Linked DNA regions of Daphnia pulex. The protein of the gene in region 2 interacts with the protein of the main gene of each other region in a pairwise test. Links are inferred from orthologs where the notes say so. Each region holds a gene or a part of one and is shown on either strand. Other genes may lie near its edges. The genes, in order: electron transfer flavoprotein subunit beta-like; electron transfer flavoprotein subunit alpha, mitochondrial-like.

Region 1 (3,616 bases), on a different chromosome or scaffold from region 2:
TCGTACGATTTTTTCTCGTCGACATGTTGTGGTGTGTGCCCATCTTTCTCGTTATAAAAGGACTTTGCAAATGTCTCCATGTCACAGTCGAGTCTTCGCTTCTCATTGAGCCACAAGTGTCTTGATGCAAGTACAAATTGTTTGGGCAATAAGTGTATTGATGGTTGGCAGTGTGGTTAGCTGGTTGTGAAATATTTACTTGAATCCACAGCCACTATCCAAACTGTCCACTGTCGATGACACGATATTCGACCAAACTACTAATGATCATGTGTGCCCTTAATTGTATGTTTTTGTGTATCTTGATTGTTTTCTTTTTTAGATGATGGGTAGTGTTCGGTAATGATTTTCTTTATTGATTCGTGCAGATCTGCCTATGCGTCGTACGGAGGATTGCTGATGCGTTTGCAGGGAGATGCCAACAATCTTCACGGATTCGAAGTCGATCAACAAATCTACCTGTTGATTAAGAAACTTGCGTTTTAAAAAGTGGTATGCAAACTTATAAATTACAAGTTTGGGATACGAATGAATGTACTTCATTATTTCTTTGAATACACTTGCATTTTTTTGTAACTAATAATGTTTCGACTTTATTTTATTAGTAAACGAATTGTTGTAAGTATAATAAGTTCTTGTATTCTTTTCCGTAATAGCGTAATCTTTTCAACTTGATTTTTGCATTGATAAAAGCCAAACTACAAATGGGCAGAAACCAGAAGGGCAAGTCCAGGTTTTCTTCAATGCTCATTGCAATCCCCCCCTGCAAATTAAGCATGGCCGAGGGCTTTGAGTTTTTCCACCATCATGTCGACGTTCTCGACCTTGGCACCTGCAAGCCGCACGGGTGGTTCCTCGACCGTGACTACTTCAATTCTTGGGCTGACGTCGACGCCTAAATCCTTAGGCGTCAGTTTCTTAATGGGCTTCTTCTTGGCTTTCTAAAAAGAAAAGAAATAAAAAACTTGAGTGAAAAATCGAGGGCATTTGTGCGTATATTAAAAAAAGTACCATGATGTTGGGGAGAGTTGCGTAGCGAGGCTCATTCAGACGCAAGTCGGCGCTGACGACAGTTGGTAATTTCACCTTAATTGTCTCGAGCCCCCCGTCGATCTCACGTACCACCTGCAAGCTGCCATCCTTGGCTTCAATCTGAATAGAAAACATGATTGACGGATTTTGTCAGTTGTGCGCTGCTGATTATTTTAAAAAGTAGCAATAAGTAATAACCTTGGACGCAGAAGTGGCTTGAGGCCAATCTAGAAGAGCAGCTGTCATCTGAGCTGTTTGATTGCAGTCATCATCAATGGCCTGTCAGTGAAAAACAATGTTTTCTTATAATTGGGTTATAATTAAGATAAAAGAGATAATTAGGTACCTGCTTTCCAACAATAATTAGGTCGATCTGTTCATCTTTTGCAAGTTGGGCCAACATCTTGGAAATGTGCAATGGTTGCAGAGTATCAAACTGTGGTCCTGCAACCTCTACATGTATGCCTCTATCTGCGCCCATGGCGAGAGCAGTCCTCAGTGTTTCCTGTAACACGCCAAAGTGCCAAGATCATAAAAAATATTCAGGATGTAACATGATGGACAATCTTGTACCAAAATTATGTAATCTAGAAATTGACAAATCGCCAACCTGGCACTGAGCTGGACCACAGGAGAAAGCCACAATTTCTTTGGCTATCTTCTTTTCTTTCATACGTACAGCTTCTTCAATGGCAATCTCGTCGAAGGGGTTCATTGAGTGCTTCACTCCCTCCGTAATGACTCCCGATTTGTCGGGCTTGACTCGGATCTAAAATTCCAAGAACACGATAAGTTTCATTGTTAAATCGTTAAAAAAGTTTCGAAAAGTCAATTACCTTGACAGCATAGTCGATAACACGTTTTACGCCGACCAGGATTCGAAGAGACATTTTAATTACAATATAAAAATTACAATGTTACAATTAGAGAAAGCTCTATCGTGTTATCACGACAAATAAAGTACAAGCAGAAGACGTTAAAACCACTAGCGTCACCTGGCGGGAACACAAGAGCGATGTTGCGAGGTGTTTGAAAATGTGGGATTGCGCATTCGACTATGAATATTTTTTTACATCTCACGTTTCATTCCTCTGATTCAGCAAATCAATAACAAACGAGAATTCTTTTTCATTTTTGTAACAAATTTATTCCTTCAAAATACAAGTGAAAGGAAATGAAATCAATATTCGATAGGGGAATGACATTGGACTAAGTGATAGATCAGAGAAGGTTGCAGGCCTCAGTGGCCCCACTCTAACGGCTACACCGAGTTCCGCATAAATTTATTTAAAAAATATGGTGCGCCAAAACAAGCACTATATGCCCCTTGATTATGTAATGAATGGCTGTTGAGTATCATAAGCTAATAAGAGATAGCTTATCAACTCCTTCATCCGATTACTGCACGTCTACTTGAAACTTTCCGGCAAAGAATGTTCTGGAACAAATTAAATGAATTGGTTTTTTTTACTTAACAGAAAATGCAAATGAAGTGCATAGTATCATACCCATTTGGTTATCAGTAGTGTGGGCGAAATTTAATGTTTTCATGATTTGAATGAATTCTTCTCTACTCTTGGTCAATCGAGGATTGTAGCGTTTCTCCTCCAAAACAGACGTCACTGTTCTGCCTGAATGTATAAATAGAAATTAGACAAGTATAAAAGAATTCTAATGTGTTTGTTGATTGGTACCCCGATAGTCGTGTCCAGGATAAAGGCGGAGCATGTTTGGTAATGAGAAAATTTGGTTATAGATTGAGTTGTACAAAGTTTCAGGATCGCCTTGATCGAAATCAGTCCGACCACATCCTCTAATTAGCAAAGTGTCGCCTGTGAAAGCGACTCCTTCTTCATGACAGACATATGTGACGCAACCTGAAACAATATAACCACGCGACTTGAAAATACGAATCACTTAAAGTAATCATGTTTTGATCAAATTACAGTTGGTATGGCCGGGTGTTGCTCGTACTTCGAGCTGATGTCGACCAAAGTGGATGATATCGCCATGGCGAACCAAAATATCGGCGATTGCTCCGCTAGCTGCAGAAATGACAGTTTTGCACGACGGAAGGTACTTTTTTAGCTTAAGGGCAGCTGCTGAATGATCAGAATGCATATGAGTACTCACTGGAAAATTAAAAAGAAGAAATTATTGTACAGGTTTTGAAAAAAAATATTATATTAATTTATTATACAAGCATATCTGATGTTGAGTTCCAATTCTTTGACCACCTCTAGGTCCCTTTCAATAAGCTCGATGACAGGATCAATGAGTACTGCATCTTTTGAGTAGGCGTCAGCAAGCAGGTATGTGTAAGTACAGCTTTCTCTATCAAACAACTATAAAGACAGTTTATGGAATGAATATTATGTAAGGGTATTGGGAAATTGCCATCTTGCCTGTCGAAGGAAGAAGTCACCGGAATGAGGTTGCCTTTCGATGTGGGTGCTGAAACCTTTGCTAAATCCATGCGTCAGCATGGATTTCTCATTTGACACATGGGCAGAAATAGCTGGTTTGCTCAAATTTAAAACCTGGTTCGACACACTTAGGCAAGATGATATTTGCCTGCTGATGC
Region 2 (4,015 bases):
CGACGCCAGGGCGGCTCGTTCTTGCATTTACCAGTTGTTACGTCTTCGGGCTGACGGGAGAGATGCTGACTGCTAACTGGCCAACAACTCCTAGAGAGAAGATCCACCTCAGCTTTGGTGGTCCGCCAGGCATCATATTCTTTGTCTAAATGAAAAGTCTGGGCTTCACTGTGCGAGAGAGACACACTTGGCCTTTAAGAGGCGGCAGCATGTGACACTGTACAGCACAAAAAGGATTTCACGAAATGAAGATGAAAGATGAAGCAGGAAAAGAAGAAACGCGGAATGAGCACAGTTCTCTCAGCCGTCTTAATGGCCTGTGATATCAGTGGGCATATCTGCGTCTTGACGGCACGCCTCACTTGTGATGGAACCACTGAAACCCCCCTTTAAGACCCATCTTCCATGGTACTATGACGGCTTTCTCGTCAGGACTAATGAATGTCATTTTGCTGTTTATTTATCGCCTTCGTTAGTCCCTGTAATCTTCCCCTCCCCCCTCCCAGTCGCAGTGAACAATACACCTCATTATTATATGGGCGCGAATAGTTTGAATGCGTTCCGGAGACTAGATGGTTCTGATCCGATTCTGCATGAATCGACAAGTGGCTCACGATACTATCACAAAACAACCGTTCCGCAAAGAGTCCTTGTCTGGCCTTGCATCAGCGGACGCCCAGACTAGACGAGTGTAGAAGCTCTGATTGAATGGTCGACAACATTTAAGGGATTCCAGATCGGGTGTTCTCTGACCTTTGAGGGTAGAAGGATACTATCTGTATATTTTTTTGTTTGTTTTTATCCCATATTCCGTACACATTTGCATTGTTTCTTTTTATAAATCAGCAACAACGTCGCTTCAAAATTTTTTTACTTTTTTCCTATTTTCTCGGTGAGTTCGGGCACAGCAGCGAATAAATCAGCTACCAGGCCGATATCAGCAACTTGATTGAAATGAATTAATAGTTAAAAACAGTTCTAAAAAGAAAATTGAATAATATCCATCAAAACGTTACCTTGGAAAATGGGAGCTTCTGGATCTTTGTTGATGGCAACGATGGTTTTTGAATCTTTCATGCCAGCCAAATGTTGGATCGCACCAGAAATTCCAACAGCGATGTACAATTCCGGTGCAAGGATTTTTCCTGTTTGACCAACCTGTAGTTGCCACGTCCGCGAATAATCCAGATTACCAAATGGAGTTTTGACAAAGAAGAAAAAGACAAATGCTAGTCAACCTGAAGGTCGTTGGATACAAAACCGGCATCAACAGCGGCACGCGAAGCGCCTACAGCAGCACCCATCTTGTCGGCAAGCTTGTAAAGTAGCTCGAAGTTTTCACCTGATTATATAATATAATTATAACATTGTACTATGAAGGCATAAACTATTAAGATTATCCTTCAAACCTGATTTCAATCCTCGACCACCACTAACGACGATCTTGGCAGACGAAAGCTCTGGACGATCAGACTTAGTCAACTCTTGTCCAATAAATTCGGAATTAGGTGAGGAATTGACGGTTTGAGTAGACGCTTCTGAAGGAGCAACGGCATCCCCCATGAGAGCAGCAGGAAAACTTGTGGGCCTAATGGTAACGACTTTAACGCCATCATTGGATTTCAATGTCAGAACAGCATTTCCTGATTTAAATGTAAAATTGAAGACATGATAAAATATAAACAAAGAAATACATAGGAGTTAGTAACCCACCAGCATAAATTGTTCTGACAAAAGTATCAGCATTTGTGATTGCAGTTACATCTGAAATGGGAGAAACATCTAACAGTGCAGCCACTCTGGGAAGCAAAGTTTTTCCGAAAGCAGAAGCACCAGCTAAAATATGAGTAAAACCAAATTGCTTTTGGGTAGCAACAACCAAGGGGGCCAAGGGTTCAGGCAACAACCCATGAAGATTGGCATGTTCAGCAACAAGGATCTTTGATATCCCTGTTGCTTTGGACAATTGTTCTACTACCTAAAATTAGTTTGAAAAGTTAACAAAGCTTCAGAATTCTTCAGTACCGCAATCATCTGATGAACTTACCGATCCACACTTGGCTCCTGCAACAAGACAGGACACAGTTCCACCAACTTTCTGAGCTGCTGTGATGGCACTCAATGTGACAGGGTTAAGTTTGCCATTGTTGTGTTCAGCTAAAACCAAGGTACTTTGAAAACGGTGGGCTAGGATGAAAACCTGGCAATGTGATTCAATAGCATGATTTACTGTTTCAAGAACAATAGCAAAACCGCAAAATATAATTTTAAATAATACTGCAACACTCACATTCCTTCCTTGGAAATTGCGCAGCTGTGAAATCGAAAACATTTTCTAATGCAAACTTATCAGAATTATGGATGTACTCCAACAGTCACCCAATTACACAACGAAAAATAAAAGGGACTTGAATCGTAACGATTAAAACTAGCAGACTGAAAATCCCGAAATCAGAAAATCGCCATGCGTTGTTCATTTGTTTGTAGCGGGATGGGAACGACTCTCGTATCGTCTGCTGTTCTAGCTTTGAAAATATTTCTCTATTATTAGCGTCTCATTTTCGAGTGATGTTTAACAAATTTCCTCATACAGTTTAGCAACAATTCGATAATACACAGAGAGAAAAGTTGTGTATTCAAATTCTAGCAAGTTTAGTATACAACAATATCGTTACTTACAGTAGGCTAGTTTTCAATGATTCTAGCTTGTGAACGGAACGAGAATGTTGAGGATTGCAGCCTTAAACGAAGAGTTGTCTGAAGAAAGTTCTGGTGTTGATGAACCTGTTCTACCAACAAAAGAAGTCGAAGTAAGTAATGTCTATAAAAGTACTTAACTATTCCAAGAGAATGAGATGAACTGCATACCAAAAACATATGTTTGTTATTTATTTATTTTCTTATTTGCTTTCTCAGGAAGCTGATTCGTTGAACTTGTACAAAGAAGCTCTAGATCTGAGACAGAAAAATGAGTTTGATGCTGCTCTCAAACTCTTCCATCACACACTTGCCTTACCTTGTATTGAAAATGTATTAACAAAATTTCAAATTCTTAGATTAATTTGATAATGTCAATCAAATTCTCACTTTAAATTTAGGCCTTGTTGGATGAAAAAGAAGAAAAAGATAATAGAGACATAGGCACCTTGTCTTCCTGTCTCCAAATTAAATATGCTTGTTTGAAAAACATTGGAGCTTTGTGTGCTTCCAAAGGAAATTTTGATGAAGCACTTGAGGCATATCTTGAGGTGGAGTGAATAGACTAAAATGCAAATTTTTATTCTTAGCTAAAATCATGCTTATCTTTAGGCTGTGGAAGTTGATCCCCTTGATGTAACTGTTTGGCACAGCATTGGAAAAATTTCTATGAGTTTAAAGAACTTTCAGCTTGCAAGACATGCTTTTCTTCAGGTACTGAATTCAACCAGAATAATAATAACTTGAAAATATTACTAATTCTCGTTAATATCTCTTGCTACAATGTAGGGGTTACAGTGCAGTCCCAACCATTGGCCTTGCCTGGATGGAATTATCAGCGTTTTGTATGGGCTAGGTGATGATGTTTTGTGCCTTCACTACATCAATATAGCCCTTGGAAAAGACCCTTTCTACACCAGAGGTCTTATTTTCCGAGATTTTATTTTTGAAATCTCTCCTTCGTTGAAAATTGACCTTAAACAAATATTCAACGAAAAATGGTATGGAATTACTATTAAACAAGTGTGAGTCGCTTCAAGAAATCTGATAGTGATTTTTCGTTTTCAGGATCCATTTGTTTGAAAATTACCCATACAGTGAAGAAGAAAAACAGGAATGTCTGAATGAAGCACAGCAGCTTCGTGAGGAAGTTGGCGGTCTATACACGGAATTGATTTTACCAAGCATTCCGTTAGCGAAGAAGATTGAATCGTTATCATGGATTGCTGTTGGAGAGAGCTTACTGGCTACTTACAGAAGTATGTCGGAAAGCAGCGACCCTCTGGTAAAAAAAGTAATTTTTTTTTTTCGAAATCAA

What was found.
Region 1: the proteins of electron transfer flavoprotein subunit alpha, mitochondrial-like (region 2) and electron transfer flavoprotein subunit beta-like interact in a two-hybrid assay, tested with the Drosophila melanogaster proteins (2 studies listed by BioGRID). The link is inferred for Daphnia pulex from reciprocal best matches to the Drosophila melanogaster genes wal and Etfb.

Annotation. Positions count from the first base shown.
Region 1 is NC_060023.1:10,149,898-10,153,513, forward strand, and holds electron transfer flavoprotein subunit beta-like, read right to left. Parts: upstream 2,045-3,616; 5' UTR 1,923-2,044; coding exon 1,869-1,922; intron 1,802-1,868; coding exon 1,643-1,801; intron 1,538-1,642; coding exon 1,379-1,537; intron 1,312-1,378; coding exon 1,231-1,311; intron 1,153-1,230; coding exon 1,012-1,152; intron 942-1,011; coding exon 771-941; 3' UTR 624-770; downstream 1-623. Other genes in the region: DNA-directed RNA polymerases I, II, and III subunit RPABC3-like, read left to right, coding at 369-486; persulfide dioxygenase ETHE1, mitochondrial-like, read right to left, coding at 2,442-2,470, 2,541-2,663, 2,727-2,909, 2,979-3,164, 3,233-3,377, 3,438-3,616.
Region 2 is NC_060017.1:3,282,316-3,286,330, forward strand, and holds electron transfer flavoprotein subunit alpha, mitochondrial-like, read right to left. Parts: upstream 2,484-4,015; 5' UTR 2,333-2,483; coding exon 2,291-2,332; intron 2,201-2,290; coding exon 2,048-2,200; intron 1,979-2,047; coding exon 1,714-1,978; intron 1,644-1,713; coding exon 1,410-1,643; intron 1,343-1,409; coding exon 1,239-1,342; intron 1,159-1,238; coding exon 1,017-1,158; intron 945-1,016; coding exon 871-944; 3' UTR 763-870; downstream 1-762. Other genes in the region: calcineurin-binding protein cabin-1-like, read left to right, coding at 2,724-2,810, 2,917-3,030, 3,099-3,248, 3,310-3,411, 3,487-3,698, 3,766-3,982.